3 linked regions of the Macaca fascicularis genome follow. The protein of the gene in region 3 interacts with the protein of the main gene of each other region in a biochemical or structural test. Links are inferred from orthologs where the notes say so. Each region holds a gene or a part of one and is shown on either strand. Other genes may lie near its edges. The genes, in order: USP51, UBR7 and histone H2B type 1-B.

Region 1 (8,057 bases), on a different chromosome or scaffold from region 3:
TAAATATACCATTGTCTTAAGGGATCCACCGGCTGTACCAGGATACCAAAGGGATCCAAGGCACCAAAAGGCTGAGGATCCCTACTCTGAAGGTTAATATTAGGGGTCAACTTGATTGGATTGAATTGAAGGATGCCTAGATAGCTGATAAAGTATTGCTTCTGGGTAAGGGTGTTGTCAGAGGAGACTGACGTTTGAGTCCGTGGACTGGGAGAGGAAGACTCATCCTCAATGTGGTTGGGCACCAACCAGCGCGGGTAAGGCAAGGCAGATGGAAGTAGGTGGGACAAGCTGGCTTGCTGAGTCATCTGGCTTTCATCCTTCTCCCATGCTGGATGCTTCCTTCTGTTCCTCCTGCCCTTGGACATCAGACTCCAGGTTCTTTAGCCTTTGGACTCTTAGACTTACACCAGTGGTTTACATGGGGGCTCTCGGGCCTTGGGACACAGACTGAAGGCTACACTGTTGGCTTCCCTATGTTTGAGGCTTTTGGACTCAGACTGAGTCACTACTGGCTGCTTTCTTCCCCAGCTTTCAGACGGCCTGTCATGGGACTTCGCCTTGTGATCATTTGAGCCAATTCTCCCTGATAAACTCCTTTTCATACATATACATATACATATACATATACATAAACATATACATATACGTGTGTGTGTGTGTGTGTGTGTGTGTATGTAGGATACATATATCCTATTGGTTCTGTCCCTCTGGAGAACCCTGACTAAAACACCTACTCTAGGGGATGTTTTGAAATGAACATCCAAGGGCAAAGGGAAGGCAATGGACTGACAGGCCGGATGTTTTCACATATGTAATCTCATGTGCACAGACAATACAGAGGCTTCTGTGGTTGAAGTGCTGGAGCCTAAAAAAGCAGAAAGTGAAGCTGAGGTTGGACCTACTCAGGGGTAGAGGGAGTTGGAGTAAGTTGGGCAGTTTCCATTTTAACCAAGAGACCACAGGGAGTCACCATGGGTCTGTGGGCAGGAGAGGGCACACTCCAGTGGTGTCTGAGGCTGTTGCTTCAGACACCCGGAGGCAGACCAGCTACGAGCTGGAGCACAGGAAGTAAAGGAACAGAAGAGGGGATCCATCAAGTGAGGGGGCAGGGGCAGGAGGCTGGGCAGACAAACGTGGGCCCCAAAGGACTAGAACCCAGTCCATGGCACCCTCCCTGCAGCCCCAGTCAGGGCAGGTAATGGCTCCAAGTCTGCCCTTTGGGATGCTGGCCTCTGAGAAGCGAGGTCATTGAGGGGAAGAGGCCCAGGTTGGGAGAAAGAAGGCTGTGTGAGGCTTCAGGGGTCCAGTTTTCAAGGTACTGAGTGAGCCACCAGGAGCACAGAGGCAGGCTTTTTCCCAATCCTGCTCTTTCATACACCACCCCACTCCCAAAGGAGCCCGCCAGACTGGCCACAGCTAGAATCTGTAAGAGACGCCAACATAACACAGTCCTGGGAAACCAGCTCCGTCAGACATGGTTCCTGCTACCAAGGCCAGAGTGCATTGACCTGGGCTTCTTTACACATAATCCCACAGCAGTGGTTCTCAAAGTGCCATCTCCATGCCAGCAGCATCCGCATCAGCTGGTACAGCGTTAGAAACCTAAATTATTGGGCCTCCCCAAACTCACTGAACTGGGAACTCTGGGAGTGGGGTCTAGCAGACTGTTAAGTCCACCAGAAGGTTCGATGCCACTTCATTTTGGAGGAACCTGTGAACTCCAGAAAGGCCTAAACCATGCAGACCCATTCATTTTCGTTTTGACAGAAGTGACCCATCACACTGTTCTGAGGTTTTCCTACAGGACAATTGTCAATGAAGAAATCATTTGTTTGGTCACCATAGCGTGTGGGCTGATTTAAAGGTGTGTCTAGCTCAATAACAATTGTTTTCAGAAACTTTTTGAAGCACTGTAACAATCCCACCTCCCAAATGTTAAGTTGTTGATTACGAGTGGTTTTTAGGCCTTTATTAACTAACATTAATCTTCACAGCACATTCCTTTGCATTTCCTGATGTGGATCTCAGGCAGAGACTCTGACTGACTTGCTTTTGTGCCCAGTTTTGTTTGGCTGTATATTCATAGTGCCCAGGGCAGCAGTAGGTGCTGTTTACATATCTGCTGCATAAATGAATCTAGGTAGGGCTGGCATTCTCATGATTCTGATTTTGCACAAAAGAAAGCAAAGGCTCAGAAGACAGAAGTATTTATAAATTGTGCCCTGCCTCTCTGCCTGCATAAAGGGTGCAAGGCTGTCTCAGAGCAGCTGGGATCCACGCCACAGGTGGCGCAGCTAGCAAACGACTGACTCAGCATTTCCTTCTAGCTCTGCGAATGCAGAAGCAACTCTTTGCTTAGCTGTGACTGAGAAAATGCCCTTCCCTAGGGGAAAAGAAACACGTTTTCCTGCACAAGCCAGTCTATAATTCCAAAGCACTTTCCCTCCAGGTGCTGGTAGGTGACTGAGATATGGTCGAATCTAGACCAAGTCATAAAATCACTGATATCCACAGTGCGGACATATCCACTAGATGCCACTGCCAAGTTAAAGAGAGCTGAATCCTAATCGTGAGGTTTTGAGGGGAGATGTGTGACTTTTTCAGAGAGATTAAATGTAGCATTAAACATCCTCTGTAATAAACCGTAATTTTCTTGGGATTGGACAGGAAGGGCAACAAGCCCTGGAGATAGCTTTCCTCCGGGGTTGTCACCTTGGATGCTGGATCTGTCACAGAAAAGGAAAAGTCTCCTGGCCTATGGACTTCAGGACACAAACAGTTGTATCTTGTGCTTCTCACAGCACAATCTAGTGCTATAATGCACCGATGGCATCTTTGTTGAATGCATGCTCCTGTACATGAACCGCCTAGGAGGGATGATAGCGTGAGCTGAGCCATAACTTGGAGAGAGCTTCGAAAGAGAAAGGCATTCTCTTCTCCTCTGCTCTGCATCAGTTGTTCTCTAGGCTGATTTTCAGGTCGGGACTGAAAAAAGAGGTGTGAAAGATAAAGCTTGCCAAAAAGGTCTTTTACTTGATATATACTATGACTTAGTGTTCACATTGGGTTAGGGTTATTATTTCAATTTCTCTTAAAAAATTGACACAACTAAGGCTCAGAGAAGTTAAGTGTTTTATCTGAGGTCACACAGCAAGCATGTGCCTGGGCTCAGGTCTCTCTGAGCCTGAGCCCTTGCTTATGCTTCCTCCCCTGCACATTCTGGGATAATCTCTCTCTCTCTCTCTCTCTCTCTCTCTCTCAACTCCCAGAGACCAGACTCTGACAGGATCCTGAGGGATTTCTGCCAGGGAGTTGCCATCTCTGGAAGCCCCCACCCCCATGCCGGGCGAATCTTTTTTTCTGTGGAGTGCGGGCCTGGAGCTAGGTGAGGCCTGAGCCTCCATTTCAGGGGCTTTCTGTAGAATCTGTTGCTGCTGTTGCCTCCAGTAGAGTCTGTTTCAGGAAGAGGTTTGCCTGCCTGCGCGGGACAGCGGTGCCATTCATCACTGCAGGAGGGCAGAATCCGGGGTTGGGGGCCGCACGTCGAGAGGGGAGGGGCCAGGGGGCGGCCCCCTTGTGACCAGCCCTGAGGAGAGGTCAGGAGAGAAGGCTGGCTGAGGAGCGCCTGGACAGCAGCAGTTGCTGACGTTCTATATCACGCGCCTGGGGCCCAAGGTAACCCAGACCTTTAAACAAACCGCCGGGCTGGGGGCGTTGCGGGGGCAGGAGAGGGAAAAGGGAGCGGGGACTTCGGGGATCGCCCGAGGATGGTGGTGGCCTTAGAGGTGGCAAATGCCTGAAGGGAGGGAGTAGTAATCCGAATTCTAGGAGAAATCGTAGGAATTGAAGTCGCAGAAGCAAGAAAAGGGGTGTGAGAGCACAAGAGCGAAAAAGCGTGAGAGGGCGCAAGAGCTGGGCGGAACGAAAGTGCGCTGAGGGGCAACGGCTTAGAGTGGAACACACCGGGTCACAGAAGTATAGATAAGGTAGGAGCAGAGGGACACTTTCTTCCTCTGAGTTCATTTTCCAAAAGTGCGTCCTTTCAGCCATTTTTGAGAGAAAATGTTGACCCAAGTGTTTTTTAGGATACAGGGAAAGAACGTCAGAGGAAGCTGCACCAAAGCGAGGCTGCGCAGGGCGCAAAAAAGCAGACAGAGGGTGGCGCCTTTTTTAAAGAAGTTTCCATCCTTTCTGTCCTAAAGCTCAGGCCGTTCCCCACCCCCACCGCTCGCTAGCCTTCTGTTCCCAGTCCCCTGGCCCCTGCACGATCTGAGCGTCTTTAAAGCAGGTAACCGCCTCGGTCTCCCCATCAGCTCCAGGGGCCTCTCAGTTGAGTGGGTGGAGCCGGCAGCGGCCGCGGGCTGAGCTCAAGGGCCGATGGGAGGGGTCCTGGGGGCGCTAACTGCGCACTGCGGCCATGACGCTGGGCAGATCATTCACAGAAGTCTGTCTCGTTTCATCTACAGTCGCAGCTCGTTTCCAGACGCCTTGCTTCTCAGGTCGAGCAGTGATCTGATGGCCCAGGTTCCAGAAACTTCTTTGCCCTCCGGCTCTGGGGCCCGCTGGATCTCCGGAGGTGGGGGAGGAGCCTCTCCTGAGGAGGCGGTTGAGAAGGCGGGGAAAATGGAGGCGGCGGCGGGGGCGACGAAGGCGTCTTCGGGACGGGAAGCTGAGGAGATGAAGCTGGAGCCATTACAGGAGCCTAAGCCCGTGCCGGAGGAGAACTTGACGTGGACCAGCAGCGGCGGCGACGAGAAGGTGCTCCCTTCAATCCCCCTTCGCTGTCACAGCAGCTCCTCGCCCGTTTGCCCGCGCCGCAAGCCCCGCCCTCGGCCCCAGCCCCGGGCCCGCTCCCGCAGCCAGCCTGGGCTGTCGGCCCCACCCCCGCCTCCGGCCCGGCCCCCGCCCCCGCCGCCACCCCCGCCCCCATCCGCACCGCGGCCCAGGGCCTGGCGTGGATCCCGGCGCAGATCCCGACCTGGGTCCAGGCCTCAGACACGGAGAAGCTGCTCTGGTGACCTAGACGGGTCGGGGGATCCTGGCGGCTTAGGGGACTGGTTGCTGGAGGTCGACTTTGGTCAGGGTCCCACAGGTTGCTCTCATGTGGAGAGCTTTAAAGTAGGTAAGAACTGGCAGAAGAACCTGAGGCTGATCTACCAGCGTTTCGTTTGGAGTGGGACCCCAGAGACTAGGAAACGTAAAGCAAAGTCATGCATCTGTCATGTATGTAGTACCCATATGAATAGACTCCACTCTTGTCTCTCCTGTGTCTTTTTTGGCTGCTTCACTGAGAAACATATTCACAAACATGCAGAAACAAAGCAGCACCATTTAGCTGTAGACGTTTATCATGGGGTCATATATTGCTTCATGTGTAAGGATTATGTATATGACAAAGACATAGAACAGATTGCCAAAGAAACAAAAGAAAAAATTTTGAGATTAACTTCCACCTCAACAGATGTTTCTCATCAACAGTTTATGACATCAGGGACTGAAGACAAGCAATCAACCTGTGAGACAAAGGAACAGGAGCCAAAATTGGTGAAACCCAAGAAAAAGAGAAGAAAAAAGTCAGTCTATACTGTAGGCCTGAGAGGGCTAATCAATCTTGGGAACACTTGTTTTATGAATTGTATTGTTCAGGCACTTACCCATATTCCTCTACTGAAAGATTTCTTCCTCTCTGACAAGCACAAATGTATAATGACAAGCCCCAGCTTGTGTCTGGTCTGTGAAATGTCTTCGCTTTTTCATGCTATGTACTCTGGGAGCCGAACTCCTCACATTCCCTATAAGTTACTGCATCTGATATGGATCCATGCAGAACATTTAGCAGGGTACAGGCAGCAGGATGCCCATGAGTTCCTTATTGCAATATTAGATGTGCTGCATAGACACAGCAAAGATGATAGTGGTGTGCAGGAGGCCAATAACCCCAACTGCTGTAACTGCATCATAGACCAAATCTTTACAGGTGGCCTGCAATCAGATGTCACATGTCAAGCCTGCCATAGTGTTTCCACCACCATAGACCCATGCTGGGACATCAGTTTGGACTTGCCTGGCTCTTGTGCCACATTCGATTCCCAGAACCCAGAGAGGGCTGATGGCACAGTGAGCAGGGATGACCACATACCAGGAATCCCCTCACTCACAGACTGCCTACAGTGGTTTACAAGGCCAGAGCACCTAGGAAGCAGTGCCAAAATCAAATGCAATAGTTGCCAAAGCTACCAGGAGTCTACTAAACAGCTTACAATGAAAAAATTACCCATTGTGGCTTGTTTTCATCTCAAGCGGTTTGAGCATGTAGGCAAACAGAGGCGAAAGATTAATACCTTTATCTCCTTTCCCTTGGAGCTGGACATGACTCCGTTTTTGGCCTCCACTAAAGAGAGCAGAATGAAAGAAGGCCAGCCACCAGCAGATTGTGTGCCCAATGAGAATAAGTATTCCTTGTTTGCAGTGATTAATCACCATGGAACTTTGGAAAGTGGCCACTATACCAGCTTTATCCGGCAACAAAAGGACCAGTGGTTCAGCTGTGATGATGCCATCATCACCAAGGCTACCATTGAGGACTTACTTTACAGTGAAGGGTATTTACTCTTCTATCACAAACAGGGTCTAGAGAAAGACTAGTCTTACCAGACCACTTACTGAAAAAAAGTAAATGATTAGGCAAGGATTTTGAAGTGACACACAGACCTACTTGGAATGGACAATAACACCTATATGACAGCTAGTATCTTGATGTAAAGAACCTATTTTAGCATGGCCCATGGGTCTGTAGGAAGAAAAAAAATGAATACTAACCAGTGACCATTCAACCTTAAGAAATGGGGAGAGGGAGAAGAGGTTGAAAATGGTCACATAAAACATAATGAAATGAAAAGAATGCTTTAGGTGGGGACAATGGGAGTACAGGTGTTCTGATGCTACTATGTCATTTGTTTCTACAGAAATATCTTGTGAAGTCAGGGAGTATTCCTTTATCAGCAAAAACTTCACAATTGGTGTTCCAGCTGTGGCTGACCAGCCAAATAGTTTGAAAGAAAAATGATATTTTAAAATAAAGTTTAAAAAGCTTTAAAAGAAAAACATTTAAAAAGGAAAAATCATTTTTAAGGTTTTAAAAGAAAAAAAAATTTAAATGTTGAAAAAAATTTAAGTTGATATTTTTTAAATAAATATTTTAAAAGTTAAAAATAATTTTTTAATTTAAAGAAGTTTCAGAATTTTAAAAATTAAAAGCAAATTAAATTCTTAAAGTTTAAAAATGTAAAATAAGGAACAAGGTTAAAAATGAAAGTTTACCAAAAAAAGGAAGAAAATACTGTTAAAAATTAAAGTTAGAAACAAAAGAACATCTTAAAAGTTTCAAATGAAGGAAAATAATATAAATAGATATTTCAAAATTAAAGCATAAAATATACATATTTAAAAAGTGTTAACAAAATTACTACTATAATGATTAAGAAATAAATTTTCAAAAATACAGAATGGAATGCAATTCAATTTTAGAGAAGTTTTAAAAGAGGAAAGTTTAGAATAATTCAATACAAAAAGACAAAATTTGTTTAAAGACAAAAATTGAAAAAATATAGGAAGAAAATAGAGACTTGTGAAATAAAAAGAACCTTAGATAAGTTCAATTCAAGAGATTTAAATGAAAACTTTAAATATTTAAATAAAGATTTAAAAATTTAAACTTACAAAAAGTTACATAAAAATTGACAAATGAAAAAATGTAAAAGATTCAAGTAGAAAAAAATTATTAAAATTAAAAGTTTAAGAAGTTCTATTTTTTTATTTAAGCATATTAAAATACAGACGGGTATGAAAGAAATGGAGGAGACAGGAATAACAAGACAGCGGAGTGTGAGTATATATATTTTTTGAACTTTATGTTGATATATCAATATACTTTGCAAAAGGAAATAGACATTTTAATCATTATCTTACCATCCAATTGTGAGATGGCTGCAAGGCCTAAACACTAACTAACCCACCTTCCTCTCTTGAGATTCCATGCCCCATCTCATATCCTG
Region 2 (7,957 bases), on a different chromosome or scaffold from region 3:
CTTTAGGCAAAGGATAAAATTGAAATCCAAAGCCATAAGTTTACAGAATTAATTCCGCTTCAGTTTTCTTTCTTTTTTGTTGAGACGGAATCTTGTTCTGTCGCCCAGGCTACAGTGCAGTGGCATGATCTCGGATCACTGTAACCTCCGCCTCCTGGGTTCAAGCAATTCTCCTGCCTCAGCCTCCTGAGTAGCTGGGATTACAGGCAAGTGCCACCATGCCCGGCTAGTTTTTGTAATTTTAGTAGAGATGAGGTTTAACCATGTTGCCAAGGCTGGTCTCAAACCCGTGACCTCAGGTGATCTGCCTGCCTTGGCCTCCCAAAGTGCTGGGATTATGGGCACGAGCCACTGCACCTGGCCCAGTCTTATTTCTTGATGGCTTGTACTTCACATATTACCTGGAGATCAGATTCAGAACTAGAGCTAGCACATGGTTCACTGTTCTGCTCTGCTTTAACCTCCTGGACATCATCCTTTCCCTGTTCTGGAACATCCTCTTTGAGGGTACTATCTTGATGCTCTCCATTTTCAGCTTTAATAACTTCCTGATCACCTATTCCATCAATGTTCCGCACCAATCCATCATCCTCAGTGGATATTTTGGTTACTGTGGGTTCAAAGAAAAAAAAAGAAAAACACATACACACATATCCACTGACCTAACAGACAATAAAATCCCAACAGACAATGCAATCACTTATTCTATTATTATTATTATTATTATTATTTTTTTTTTGAGACGGAGTCTTGCTCTGTCGCCCAGGTTGGAGTACAGTGGCCGGATCTCAACTCACTGCAAGCTCCGCCTCCCGGGTTTACGCCATTCTCCTGCCTCAGCCTCCCGAGTAGCTGGGACTACAGGCGCCGCCACCTCGCCCGGCTAGTTTTTTGTATTTTTTAGTAGAGACGGGGTTTCACCGCATTAGCCAGGATGGTCTCGATCTCCTGACCTCGTGATCCGCCCGTCTCGGCCTCCCAAAGTCCTGGGATTACAGGCCTGAGCCACCGCGCCCGGCCTGTTATTTTTTTTTTTACAGACAGATTCTCACTCTGTCACCCATGCTAGAGTGCAGTGGCATGGTCTTGACTCACTGCAACCTCTGTCTCCCAGGTTCAAGCAATTCTCATGCCTCAGACACCCGAGTAGCTGGGACTACAGGTGCGTGCCACTATGACTGGCTAATTTTTTGTATTTTTAGTAGAGACACGGTTTCGCCATGTTGGCCAGGCTGGTCTCGAACCCCTGATGTCAAGTGATCTGCCTGCCTCAACCTTGCAAAGTGCTGCGATTACAGGTGTGAGCCACCACGTCAGGCATACAATAGCTTTTGCTTTTTTTTTTTTTTTTTTTTTAAGATGGAGTTTTGCTCTTGTTGCCCAGGCTGGAGTGCAATGACGCAATCTTGGCTCACTGCAACCTCCACCTCCTGGGTTCAGGCAATTCTCCTGCCTCAGCCCCCTGAGTAGCTGGGATTACAAGCATGCGCCACCATGCCTGGCTATTTTTTATTTTTAGTAGAGACGGGGTTTCTCCATGTTGGTCAGGCTGGTCTCAAACTCCTGACCTCAGGTGATCCGCCCGCCTCGGCCTCCCTAAGTGCTGGGATTACAGGCATGAGCCACCACATCTGACCTAAAATCGCTTTTTCTGGTTTTAAAATATTTCAGAATCTGGAAAAAGAGATTAGTCCACCATAGTCTCCGAAATACTGAGAAAGAAAATACTAATGCTTCTTTAGGTTATGTCTGTCTAACCCAAAGAATTCAAATAATTGAACAGTTTATTTGAAAATATCAATCACTGCTTAAGCACTTTACACATAAAGGAGAAAATAATGTACTGTACTTGTTAGAGACAGAATAATACAAGAAGTAGGAGGAAGAGATTGAACTGTAAACACAGACAGAAGGGTACTTTTTTAAAAACAGCTTTTCTTTATGGGAGGAAGAAATAAAAAAATGATGGGTGTAGCAGCACATATACTCTGAGACAGAGAAGAGAAACGATAGGGGAGCTCACATTGGATGCCAGCATTTCAATGTAATAGGAGATGAAGCCATCTGCTGACGGGAGAGGAAATGAAGGGAGAGGCAGGAGATCAATTTAAAAAACCCAATTAAGCTGGGTATGGTGGCTCACACCTGTAATCCCAGCACTTTGGGAGGCCAAGACAGGTGGATCACCTGAGGTCAGGAGTTCAAGACCAGCCTGGCCAACATGGTGAAACCCCTTCTCTACTAAAAACAGAAGAATTAGCTACGCATGCTGGCGCATGCCTGTAATCCCAGCTACTTGGGAGGCTGAGGCAGGAGAATTGCCTGAACCCAGGAGGCATAGGTTACGGTGAGCCGAGATTGTGCTACTGCACTCCAGCCTGGGCAACAGAGCAAGACTCCGTCTTAAAAAAAAAAACCCAACGAGTAAGAACTATACATAGATAGGTTCAGTATTTGTGGACAGTGAGAGAGATCACTGGAAAGGGTATGAACAGAAAGGGAGCAGCACTTAAGAACTCTGAGGCAAACTGGCCAGGCGTGGTGGCGCACGCCTATAATCCCAGCACTTTGGGAGACCGAGATGGGTGGATCACTTGACATCAGGAGTTTGAGACTAGCCTGGCCAACACAGTAAAGCCTTGACTCCACTAAAAATACAAAAATTTGCCAGGTGTGGTGGCATGTGCCTGTAGTCCTAGCTACTCTGGAAGCCACATCACAAGAATCGCTTGAACCCAGGGGGCGAGGTTGCAGTGAGCCGAGATAGCACCCCTGCACTCCAGCGTGGATAACACAGCCAGACGTTGTCTCAAAAAAAAAAAAAAAAAAAAAAGACAGAAAAACATGAGACTGGAGGTACAGCTATGCTGCTCATGGTTTGTACAGTGAACTGATCTCTAAAGATGAGAAGGGCAAGAAATTATGAAGCCAAAGCAGCAGATACTACGAGTTTAACTGCCACCTTAAAAATATATTAAGAAACACATAAAGCATTACCAGTAAGACATTTAATGCCTCAGGACCATTCATTAATTAGTTGTTTTAATTTCTTAGTGTATAATAAAAGCACCAGATAGGCTGGGCATGGTGGCTCATGCCTGTAATCCCAGCACTCTGGGAAGCCAAGATGAGTGGATCACTTGAGCTCAGGGGTTCAAGACCAGCCTGGGCAACATGGCGAAACACTGTCTCCACAGAAAATACAAAATTAGCAGGGCGTGGTAGCGTGTGCCTGCAGTCCACTTTTATAAGGGCACTAATCCCATTCATGAGGGCTCGGACTTATGAAACAGGCCCAAGCGAGCTTGTTTGCCCCTTTTAACAGGTACGGACACATAAAAGGCTCCATCTGTGAGGAATGGGCACTCAACCAAACCACTGACTCTGCAGGCACCTGAATTTTGGACTTCCCAGCCTCCAGAACTGTGAGAAATATCCGTCTATTGTTTATAAATTACCCAGCCTAAAGTATTTTGTTCTAGCACCCCAGATAGACTAAGACACCACCCCCTCGCCAACCGATACCATGTGTTATAATTAACAACTTATTTCAGTTCTATGTATCTTTCAAAATCCATTTGAAAACTGCCTCCTCCATTTTCTCTAACTCTGGTCTCATCAATATTCTGCATCATATCATTTAAGTATAAATTTGTTTTTGGTAGTGTCCCAACCAATCTATGCACCTTGCGGAGAAAGAACACATACTATTTTTTGGTTTTTTTGTTTTTGAGATGGAGTCTCGTTCTGTTGCCCAGGCTGGAGTGCAGTGGCATGATCTCAGCTCACTGCAACCTCTGCCTCCTGGGTTCGAGCGATTCTCCTGCCTCAGCCTCCTGAGTAGCTGGGATTACAGGCACGTGCCATGATGCCCGGTTAATTTTTGCATTTTTAATAGAGACGGGGTTTCGCCATGTTGGCCAGGCTGGTCTCAAACTCCTGACCTCAGGTAATGCACCTGTCTTGGCCTCCCAAAGTCCTGGGATTAGTGAGCCATCGTGCCTGGCCAGAACATATACTATTTTATAACCACAGAGTTAAAAATAGTTGCTAAAAATTCTGAATTGAACACACAAATTTCACAAGCACAAGTTTATGGCACAGCAACTTCACAAAGATACCTACCTGCCAATTGCGCAGCATAAGCCCACAAAAAGGAACAACGTTTCATGCAGGCCTGGCATACCATCTCTTGAAAATCCCCACTCTCGGGGGGAATGGCACCAAGATGCTGTGAATACAGAACACCAAAAATTTTCTTGTGATTGCCACACTGTCCAAAATGCCCATTATTTTACAAATAAATACTGTAATAATACACTGATCATATCACTAAAATTTATTTTTAGAAGAGTAATTATAATGTAAAATATAACCTTTATCTCTTTGTGATGACAATGGTTTCAAAAGGTAGAACATTTTCCTTACCCTTCCATGGAACCAATCTTCACAGACCACACACTGGATCATCTCATCTGGAATCTAGCAGAGAAAAGCAGTTTGTTAAGGAGTACACTGAATTCGGGAACATGGAAGTAACCTGGCACGCAGTAGAATAAGATACTAAATATTCGTTCCACATGAACTGGTGTTCCAAAGGCTTACATTGAGATAAGCCCTCTACAAACAATCTCAAAGCTCTTTCACATCAGTTACTTAATATCTGATTCTCACAAAACGGTGTAGACAAGGAGGGCATTCCCATTTTATACAAAACTCAGGCCCAGGCAAGTAATGTGAATGGACCGATGCAGACAGTGACAACTGGGACTTTTTACCACACCATCCTTTAATACAATACTCAGTTGTATTACTGTATAGGATGGTCACTCCAGCCTTCTTTATGATATTGAAAAATTAGACAATGCTTTTCTGCTGCAGAAAAACCATCCTGCCAAGTACACTGAAAAGTAAATGTCAGGAAAACCCTCTTGATAGATAACTCCTCTAATTTGAATAAATTAAATAATTAAATGCTGGCCCTAGGAAAATAATATACCAAAGAACATAGACTATTTGGGAGATGACTTTCTTTTATTCCCAGGCTCTCATAACTGTTAATTAACATCCCAATGTTGTTCTGTCCTTTTCCTATTGTAGGCTTCTTAAAGGGAAAAAAAAAGCACATATTGTGGAACAGAAGGAGCTGTAACACTTTACTACATGCCTTAAAATATCCAGTTTTGGCCAGGCACGGTGGCTCACGCCTGTAATCCCAGCACTTTGGGAGGCCAAGGTGGGCGGATCGCCTGAGGTCAGGAGGTTGAGACCAGCCTGGCCAACGTGGTGAAACCCTGTCTCTACTAAAAATACAAAAATCAGCCAGGCATGGTGGCAGGTGCCCGTAATCCCAGCTACTCAGGAGGCTGAGGCAGGAGAATCGCTTGAACCCAGGAGGCAGAGGATGCAGTGAGCCGAGATCACGCTACTGTACTCCAGCCTGGGTGACAGAGCGAGACTCCGTCTTAAAAAAAAGAAAGAAAAAAAATTTCAGTTTTAAGATTTTATTTTTGCTAACTCAGAGAACTTCAATCTGTCCCTGTACATAATTTGGTTTAATAATTATAGTTCGAACGCAATTAGAAAACAAGGAAGAAGGCAGAAGGCTAATATCTCTAAAGACAAAAAGTACTCTTTCAAATCAGTAAATACCCAAACAAAACCCAAACCAATCAAAACATGGGCTGAGGATATGAAAGGACAATTCAGAGGGAAGGTTATTACGGATGTCCAACGAACTCATGAAAAGATGCATAATCTCACTTATCATCAGGGAAAGAAAAAAAATTTAAGATACTATTCTTCATTTATCAAAATGGCAAAATTTCCAAGAACTGGTAATATTCAGGGTTGACAAAAGTGTTGGGGAAAAAACATTATCATATACTGTTGCTGGTTCAACTTTTTTGGCAGATATGATCACAATTTTATTATTTATTATGATTATTATTTTTTGAGACAGAGTCTCGCTCCGTCACCCAGGCTGAAGTGCAGTGCCGCAATCCCGGCTCACTGCAACCTCTGCCCCATGGGTTCAAGTGATTCTTGTGTTTCAGCCTCCCGAGTAGCCAGGACTACAGGCATGAGCCACAGTGCCCGGCCAATCACAATTTTAAACACCACAAATACACTTTGATCTGTCAATTCTACTGATCCATTCTACATAAATACTTGGAGTATACTCAGTTGTATTACTGTATAAGGATGTTCACTCTAGCTTTCTTTATAATATTGAAAAATTAGATAATGCCATTCTGCTGTAGAAGAACAATTCGGTTGACTAACTTATGGCATATGAAGTTATAGGATACTCTGCAGCAGTTAGAATGGGGTAAGTGTGTTTGCTGACATGAAAGAATGTCTATGATATACTGGTGAGAAAAACCAGCTGCAGAAGTGAGTGTACAGAATTTTCACTTCGGTTAATGGAAAGGAAATTACACATTGAAACACATTCACTCAAAACACTTTAATGTGCACAGAAAAAGACCTAAAAATACACACACCAAAAGTGTTAACAGTGGTTAGGCTTGGGAGGTAAGAGGTGCAGGAGTGAGGAAGAACTCGTTTTGAATTTGGCATATATTTCTCATTGACATTTTTTTTTTTTTTTTTTTTTTTTTTTTTTGAGACGGAGTCTCACGCTGTTGCCCAGGCTGGAGTGCAGTGGCGCGATCTCGGCTCACTGCAAGCTCCGCCTCCCGGGTTCCCGCCATTCTCCTGCCTCAGCCTCCCGAGTAGCTGGGACTACAGGCGCCCGCCACCGCACCCGGCTAATTTTTTGTATTTTTAGTAGAGACGGGGTTTCACTGTGGTCTCGATCCCCTGACCTTGTGATCCGCCCGCCTCGGCCTCCCAAAGTGCTGGGATTACAGGCTTGAGCCACGGCGCCCGGCCGACATTTTTAAGAGGATGCTGTTTGTATACCCCATTTCTTTCCGTAGAGAGACAGAAGAAATTGAAGGTCATTTCTTAGAAAGTGTTAGGGGGCAGGGGGAGGCAGTCAGGGAAGGAGAGGAAGGGAAGAAGCTCTGGCTTTGGGAAAGTCCTCTCCAATATTTCATTCTTTTTTTTTTTTTTTTTTTCTTTTTTTTGAGACGGAGTCTCGCTCTGTAGCCCAGGCTGGAGTGCAGTGGCCGGATCTCAGCTCACTGCAAGCTCCGACTCCCGGGTTTACACCATTCTCCTGCCTCAGCCTCCCGAGTAGCTGGGACTACAGGCGCCCGCCACCTTGCCCGGCTAGTTTTTGTATTTTTTTAGTAGAGACGGGGTTTCACTGTGTTAGCCAGGATGGTCTCGATCTCTTGACCTCGTGATCCGCCCGTCTCAGCCTCCCAAAGTGCAATATTTCATTCTTATGATGTAAAAATGGAAAGAACGGTTGAGATGTGTACCAATTATAGATCCGACCCAGATTCATAAGAAAAGATAAATCTAGAACCCTTTCACCATCCCGCACTGCCTCCCGAAGAGCCAGAGGCTCAGATATGACAAGCAGTTGAGGAATCAAGGCTAGAGGGGACACACTCCCAGGTTTAACTTCCAATTCTCTTACCTCGTCTTCAGGATCAGGATAAGGTCTCTTGCAAATGCAGTACAATCCAAAAAAGTTGTCATTGTACTTATTGCCAGAATTTACCTTTGCTTTGTCCTGAAATATAATATTGATTTCAATAATAATATGGTCTAATTTTAACTATAATTTCACACATTATAAAATTAATACATTCAATACATTTCCACATTATTTCCCCCAAGAGGCTGATCTTTAACTTTCAAAGTAGGAAAAAAAAACCTCACTACTACTAAAGGGATACTTTTTTCAGGATACAGGGAAAAAATAAAATTTTGTGTTTGTTTTTGTTTTTTTTGGTGGTAATTAGGAGAAATTAAATACACCTATTCAGTAAAGTGGAGATAAAAGTTAATCATAAATATTAATTATCAATCTATGTGA
Region 3 (8,057 bases):
TGCATGCCTGTAGCCCCAGTTACTGGGGAGGCTGAGGCAGGATAATTGCTTGAACTCTGGAGGCGGAGGTTGCGGTGAGCTGAGATCTCACCGTTGCACTCCAGCCTGGTTGACAGAGAAAGACTCAGTCTCAAAAAAAAAAAAAAAAAGATTAGCAAGAGAAAAGCATACAAATGTATTTAATATAACTTTTATGTTACATGCGACCCTTCAGAAATGAAAACTCGATGGAAGCAGGAAACCTGTGTATTTTTATGGTAAGTTTAGTGAAATGCATAGTTGTGGATTAATACGATTGACAGTAGGCATATGATCTAATGGTAATAAACTGAGGGGACATAGGAAGGCTTGTTTGTTAATTATCTATTAACGATCAGCAGACTATCAACAGAGACAGCAAAACATCCTAGTTTTGAGTTAGAAGACCTAGGTTTTTGTATTGGCTTGTCAGTTATGGGTATTGTTTTAGATAAAACATCAAGTATTCTTGATTTCTTATTTTTAAAAAAAAGGAAGGAAAGAAAGAAGGAAAAAGGAGAAGAAAAGTGTCAGAGTCATTTGAACCAAAGTGACTCCATTTTGAGTGTGGACTAGGAAAATGAGGCTGAGACTTGCTGGGCTGCATTCCCAGAAAGTCAATCATTCCTAGCTTCTAGATGTTTATGGTTAAGGGAACAAATAAATAATGTTTACTAAACAGACTCAGACCTGGGAGTGTCCAGATATCCCTATATCTGGAGAACAAAGGCATTCCTAATTTTGTTTAAAGATAATAATGTCTATTCTTGCAAAATATAGTAACTAAAAAAATCAATCCTTTATCACAAACCCGTGTAGCAGAGCACATCTCCCCATATATACAAGCATTGTACCTACAGGGTGGATGCCTTCCTCCTCTTACTTTCCGGAATGTCCTGCTCTGTCTATGGAGTAGCTGTCCTTTCACCACTTTACTTTCTTAGTAAACTTGCATTTACTTTGCACTGCGGACTCACCCTGAAGTCTTTCTTGCGCGGGATCCAAGAACCCTCTCTTGGGGTCTGGATGGGGACCTCTTTCCTGTAACATATTTCTGGCCACCACAGAAGGGACTATAATACAGAAACCCTGACCCTACAGCTACCTTTGGATAAGTGTTGGAGTTCTGTAACAAAGGAAGAAAGCAGGCAGGCAAAAAATTTATGAAAGAACATATGACAAAATAATATCTGCTTCAAAACTTAATATTTTTAAATTTTTTTTTTAATGAGTCAGGCTGTTTTTTTGGGGGGGTGTGTCTCATTCTGTCACTCAGGTTGTCACGGCGCGATCTTGGCTTGCTGCAACCTCTACCTCCCAGGCTCAAGTAATCCTCCCACCTCAGCCTCTCTAGTAACTGGAACTATAGGCATATGCCACAACGCCCAGCTAATTTTTTGTAGAGACTGGATTTCGCCATGTTGCCCAGGCTGGTCTCGAATTGTGAGCTCAAGTGGTCTGCCTGACTAAGTCTCCCAAAGTGCTGAGATTACAGGCATGATGCACCTGGCCCAAAAGTTCATTTTGCAAATGCTTATATTAGCAGGTCTCACTTCTCCGGGGAAAGATCCTAAATATCAGTTTCTTAAACTGCAGCCTCAATTGCTTAGTAATGTTTTGGGGGAGGTGGTCGTTTTATAATTTTAAAAAAAATTATAGATTTTTTAAAACACAAGCGTCTCTTTCACAACGGTAGTTTGCATATACAGTACTAGGATGGGAAGTGCTTCACTTACAGTTGTTCACTGACATTTTGTGTGGCATCCAGATTTTTTTTTTATTTTTGAGACAGGGTCTGTCCTCACCCAGGCTGGAGTGCAGTGGTGTCATCACAGCTTACTGCAACCTCCACCTTCCAGGCTCAAATGATCCTCCCACTTCAACCTCCCCAGTAGTTGGGACTACAGAAATGTGCCACCAGGCCTGGTTAATTTTTAAATTTTTGGTGGAGACAGACTCACTAAGTTGCCCAGACTGGTCTTGAGCTCCTAGGCTCAAGTGATCCTCCCACCTTGGCCTCCCAAAGTGCTGGTATTACAGGCGTGAGCTGCACCACACCCGGCCCAGAACCTCTTTTAAAATATTCTTAAAAATTAAATCTGGGCCGGGCGCGGTGACTCATTCCTACGATCTCAGCACTTTGGGAGGCCAAGGCGGGAGGATCACTTGAGCCCAGGAGTTCACTTGACCAGCCTGGGCAAGATAGTAAGACCCTTTGCCTCCACAAAAAATTAAAAAATTAACTGGGTGTGGTGGCGCATTTCTGTAGTCCCAGGTACTCAAGGGGCTGAAGTTAGAGGATAGCTTGAGCTGGAGAAGTCGAGGCTGCAGTGAGCTATGATGGCACCTGGCCAACAGAGCAAGACCATTTCTCAAAACAGAAACAATAACTGTTTGAGAAACTTTATTTCTTCATCCGAAGACACTGCTGAATGTCACCTACATATAATGCCCGTAAGTTCACTTAAAATACTCCCCTCCGATTCCCCCATCCCCTCCTACTTAGTGTGCAATCAACAGGTTCTTTTCTTCTTCCATTTCTTCCCCCAGCCCCAGACCAAGAATTGGCCCATTAAGTCCTCCTCAACTAGTACCCTTCCTGCCTTTTTCTAGCTATATTGTTTTTGGCGTCCCGGATTTCTTGAAAAATGCTTCCCTCTCCAAGTGGGGCCTTCCTAGTATCTTTGCAGTAGGGCCAGTTGGGGAAAGGCACAAAATTCAAACCCTTTTGTATCTCGCAGAGCTGGAAATCCGAATTTTAAGTGGCCTAGGAAATGGGAATCTGGATTTCTGGGATGCATGAAATATGTAAACTACATAGCTGTTGTCATTGATAAACAATTATAACGCAAAACTACTGCGATTTCATTTTGTGGAACGGGAAATATTCCCTACAAAGGCGCCCGGGAAATCAGACTTCGCTTACTGTTTCCTCAATACTGGAGGAAATCTTTCCTTCTTACTGGAGGTAAGAATTTACAGCATAGGCAAACTGCAGGAGCAAATATCCCTACACGCCCTTTTGTCGCTTAGACTTTTCTGCTCCCCTCCCCCTCATCTCAAGCGGTTAACGGCTAATGACCCCCATAGAAACACTGTACCCTGAATTGCATTACTTGTTTCATTATCCAGAAAGGAAAGTTTCCTGTGCTAGACCAGGGAGGGAGTAGTGACCATATCAAATGAATTACAACTAGTACCCGAAGGCTTACCCAGGGGGAACAAAGAAGTTTGCTAAAGGCAGATGAGAAAGAGCGCCAGCACCCTCCTAACGTTTGTATTTTTAATAGAGACCATGTTGGCCGGGCTAGTCTCGAACTCCTGACGTCAAGTGATCCGCCCGCCTCGGCCTCCCAAAATGCTGGGATTAAAGGCGACAGCCACGGCGCGCTGCCCCAAGTTAACCTTGGCTCTAAAAGTTGCCTTCGCTAACATTCTAGTTGATCCTCTAGAACTGAAGCAGAACAGAGGCAGCACCACCTTAAGAAATTGTGGTTATAGCTCTCTTTGCGACAAAGTAGGTGGCTCTGAAAAGAGCCTTTGGGTTTGGAGGTGCTTACATAAGCACTTACTTGGAGCTAGTGTACTTGGTAACAGCCTTGGTGCCCTCGGACACAGCATGCTTAGCCAGTTCCCCGGGCAGCAGCAGGCGCACAGCCGTCTGGATCTCCCTGGAGGTGATGGTCGAGCGCTTGTTGTAGTGCGCCAGGCGGGAAGCTTCGCCCGCGATGCGCTCGAAGATGTCATTGACAAAGGAGTTCATGATCCCCATGGCCTTGGAGGAGATGCCGGTGTCGGGGTGGACCTGCTTCAGAACCTTGTACACATAGATGGAATAGCTCTCCTTTCGGCTGCGCTTACGCTTCTTACCATCCTTCTTCTGCGCCTTAGTGATGGCCTTCTTAGAGCCCTTTTTAGGGGCAGGAGCAGACTTAGAGGGTTCAGGCATCGCTATTCCTAAAACAAAACAAAAAAGCTACTAACACTCTCCAGCAGAGTAGTAGAGAGAACAGTTCAGAGCCCACGTATTTATAGTCCTGAGATTCAAATGACGGTTTAAGATTCCTCACTTCTGATTGGATAAAAGAAATACAGTTTCACTGAGGGGTGGGGTTTATGCAAATATGGAATTTATGGACTCTTTTTCTATTGGATAAAGCAGGAAACATAATTGACCAATAGGATAACTCTCTATTGCAGCCTTGCAGTTTGTATAAAAGTATTTCTTCAGGCGCCATTCCATCTTGCTTGTTTTTTACAGTTTTCAGAGGTCGCTGTGTTTGGACATGGAAAACGGAAGTAAAGCACAAAGTTGTTCATCGGTACCAGCCTTGCAGTTTCTAGTAGCGCAGGGTCCATCGTCTTTTTCGAAAGGGCAATTATTCTGAGCCTGTCGAAGCCGGCGCGCCGCTGTACTTAGAATACCTGGCCGCCGATATCCTGGAGCTGACACGCAGCGCCATACGTGACAAGACCCATAGCATCCCCCGCCACTTGCAGCTGGCCTTCCGCAACGACGAGCAGCTCAACAAGCTGCTGGGCAAAGTCACTATTACTCAGGGAGGCGTCCTGGCCAATATTCAGGCCGTCCTGTTGCAAAAATAACCGAGAACCACGATAAGGCCAAAAGCAAGTAAAGCCCACTCAAGCCAGAAAACGTACCTTAAACTTGCTACGGCATTTTTCAGAACCGTCCATTGTTTCACAAGAAAGGATGGTAACTTGCTTGTGTTTCGGGTACCTTTTGGTTTTGGTTTGGATTGGTTTGAGACAGAGTTTCGCTCTGTCACCCAAGCTGGAATGCCGCCGCGCGATATCGGCTCACTGCAACCTCCACCCCGCGGCTTCACCAGGTTCTCATGCCTCAGCCTCCTTTGTACCTGGGATTACAGGCGTCTGCTACCACGCCTAGCCAATTTTTGTATTTTTATTCGAGACGGGGTTTTCACCATTTTAGCTAGGGTTGTCTTGAACTCCTGGCCTCAAGTGATCCTCCCATCTTGCCCTCCCAAAATGCTGGGATTACAGGCGTGAGCCACGGCCCCCCTAGCCTAATGGTGTTTAAAAATTAAGTTTCGAGGAAATATCTTCTTTAAGAAACTACATTTTAGAGTATACAAAGTGAAACTAAAGCCAACCAAAATAAGACAGTTTGAGAACAGTCAGGGTGGGAATGTGACTTGGACTTAGAAAACGAAGGATAAGGAAACTGGCTGTTGACCAGTAACAAAATAGCATGGAATTCTCATTCTCTGAATGTAAGTAGTTTCCGACATGAGGCAGTCAACGTTTCTGGTGGTTTAGTGAGTGTTCACCAGCACTGATAACTTTCAAGACTGTCAGGAATGCAGAATTTCAAGTCCCACGCAAACTTACTGAATCGGAATTTACATTAAAAAAATCCGTAGATGCTTTGTTATGTACCTTGTTCTTTGGGACTGGATGAACTAGAATTTTAGACAATTTATCCCTGCAGATAACAAACAAAAAGGACATGATGGGCGGTGGGGCGATTCATCCAATAAGATTGCCTAGTAATGAACCAATCAGGCTGGTCACTCTTCAGCCAATGGTTTTATCGCGCGGGACTTTTGAAATATTACAGAACCAATCAGAATGTTTCTAACTATATTTAAAGACCGGTTGCTCTCAGTTCAGTACGCTTTTGTGTGTGGGGGTCATTGCAGATGGCTCGTACAAAGCAAACAGCTCGCAAGTCCACCGGCGGCAAAGCGCCGCGGAAGCAGCTCGCTACTAAAGCGGCGCGTAAGAGCGCTCCGGCCACAGGTGGGGTGAAAAAGCCTCACCGCTACCGGCCCGGTACCGTGGCTTTGCGCGAAATTCGCCGTTACCAGAAGTCCACCGAACTGCTGATCCGGAAGCTGCCGTTCCAGCGCCTGGTGCGAGAAATCGCGCAGGACTTCAAAACCGACCTGCGCTTCCAGAGCTCTGCGGTGATGGCGCTGCAGGAGGCTTGCGAGGCCTACCTGGTGGGGCTCTTCGAAGACACTAATCTGTGCGCTATTCACGCCAAACGCGTCACCATCATGCCCAAAGACATACAACTGGCACGTCGCATCCGTGGGGAAAGGGCATAAGTCTGCTTATTGCTTCCTAATTGAAAAGGCTCTTTTCAGAGCCACTTACAATTTCACTTAAAAACAGTTGTAACCAATTCGGTAGTTCCCAGGAGATGTAGAGGATTTTAAAGATAAGTACACACGCTTTGAATAACTGCAGACGAGTACATCAGGCCTTTTCTTTTGGGGCGGTTTTACTGCAAGAAAGCCAGTTGAGTGACTTTTTTGCCCTTGTTAAATCCTAGGGATCTTGTCTTTTTAACATGTATATGTGTATACTTAACATTTCGAAACAGGCTTCTGGTGAAACTTCTTTTAATCCACCTGCCAATTTTAGGTCTGATGGCATTTTTATTAAAGCTATCGTAAGGACAATGTGCGTATAGTTACCCAAAGTTCACAAAAACATTAATACCCCAAAAATCAGTATTGGTATTGGGCTATTGGAACTGGAGTCAGAGCTCAGGTGGAAAAAACTGGCCTCAGTACACACAGCCAGAAGTCCACTAAATTTATGCAACAAATACATATGACTTGCGTATGATCATCTAAAGATTATGCAGTCATCCTTAAAATCCAGGAGATTTGAGAAGGGTAGCAACTGCAAAGCTCTTTTACCCATGTCCTCTTTTAATAAATATTTAATGTAAAATTAAAAATGCAAATGTACTGCAAACTGTAAATATTAATTTATAATGGGAAAATAAAATCAAACTCCAATTTTATAAAAGCTGACAAAACAATAGCCATCACAAAATTTAGAAAATAGCAAATTGTATTAATTTCTGAATATGACACAACGATGTATATTTTCGTATAGTTTTGACTGAATACTCTCCATCTTCAGATCGAAATTATTTTGTAATATTGTCTATAGGTAATGGAAATAGAATCCAATCTTTCTTCCAGGGTGGCTATTGATAATATGTTTTCTTGATAACTTAGAAGAGTTTCAGTTTCAAAACACATTGTTGGTAATGTCAAGTAAGTTTTTAGGATTGTTTTCAAATTTGGAAAATCCTCTGTCAAGTTCCTTTCACATGTAAGTTGTAAACTTTGTAAGAATTCTTTCCAGACTAGCTTCTGGCTCTATACATTTCTACTCTCCACTAGACACTCACTCAGTGCTGGGAAGGTGTTTTGAATACTTAGATGTCATAACATTTTATCTAGACCTGTATCTTGCCAGGAATTTAGGTGAGTTATTCCAGTGAGCCATTCTTACATCAGATTGGCTGGCAACAAATGAACTACACATGAACACATATGCAAATCACGTAACTTATTATCCCCATACTAGACACATCTTCAACTAAACTTTCTCTTACTCAAATTCCAAATATTTTCATCAGGATTCCAACATAATCAGACAATGATGAATTTTAATAAAAAGGAAGATTGAGTGGAAATAACAGTCTTAACCTTCTGTGATTAAAATACCTTAATACTGCAAATTTTAAAAAGAGAGAGACAAACTAACACATTTGTAGGGCCCCTCTCAGCACCTTGGAAGTACAGGCCCTTACACTTGTGTTTCATTAGCTTCAGGATAAATCTGCCTCAGATCACTGGCCAAATTATACGTGGCCTTCTTTAGCATCCTACCTACTCTATTCAAATACATCTCTGCAGGAGCACCCTATGAGTTGAGAATTACTGTTCTGGGATGACCACTGTTTGCATGATGCTTTGGATGCTGGTGCTGTTCTCAGAAGAAATACCAGAGGGGGAATCTTAGTCAGGAGAATATAAAGTCAACCTTAAGCAATTTGAACACTTCAGTGGTTAAGTGAATTCCCTGGGACAACTTTGTAAGCTGTTATAACTTTATTTGTATTGAATATTACCTTCTTTTAGAGAGGACAATGTGTAGAAGGAAATAACAATAAAGGATTCATTAATACTATAAACTATAAACTGTCATTGATAGTTTTCCATGGATCAAGTACTACATGAAGT

What was found.
Region 1: the proteins of histone H2B type 1-B (region 3) and USP51 form a complex in vitro, tested with the Homo sapiens proteins (2 studies listed by BioGRID, with this or other methods). The link is inferred for Macaca fascicularis from reciprocal best matches to the Homo sapiens genes H2BC3 and USP51.
Region 2: of the proteins of histone H2B type 1-B (region 3) and UBR7, one has a biochemical effect on the other in vitro, tested with the Homo sapiens proteins (2 studies listed by BioGRID, with this or other methods). The link is inferred for Macaca fascicularis from reciprocal best matches to the Homo sapiens genes H2BC3 and UBR7.

The regions. Positions count from the first base shown.
Region 1 is NC_088395.1:55,605,230-55,613,286, forward strand, and holds USP51 (ubiquitin carboxyl-terminal hydrolase 51), read left to right. Parts: upstream 1-3,619; 5' UTR 3,620-3,678; exon of another isoform or gene 3,679-4,205; 5' UTR 4,206-4,380; coding exon 4,381-6,648; 3' UTR 6,649-6,895; downstream 6,896-8,057.
Region 2 is NC_088381.1:161,213,496-161,221,452, reverse strand, and holds part of UBR7 (putative E3 ubiquitin-protein ligase UBR7), read right to left. Parts: intron 7,652-7,957; coding exon 7,556-7,651; intron 4,483-7,555; coding exon 4,429-4,482; intron 4,232-4,428; coding exon 4,126-4,231; intron 611-4,125; coding exon 402-610; intron 1-401. UniProt on the Homo sapiens protein: E3 ubiquitin-protein ligase which is a component of the N-end rule pathway. Recognizes and binds to proteins bearing specific N-terminal residues that are destabilizing according to the N-end rule, leading to their ubiquitination and subsequent degradation.
Region 3 is NC_088378.1:146,882,070-146,890,126, reverse strand, and holds the start of histone H2B type 1-B, read right to left. Parts: upstream 4,021-8,057; 5' UTR 3,968-4,020; coding exon 3,591-3,967; intron 1-3,590. Other genes in the region: histone H3.1, read left to right, coding at 5,706-6,116. UniProt on the Homo sapiens protein: Core component of nucleosome. Nucleosomes wrap and compact DNA into chromatin, limiting DNA accessibility to the cellular machineries which require DNA as a template.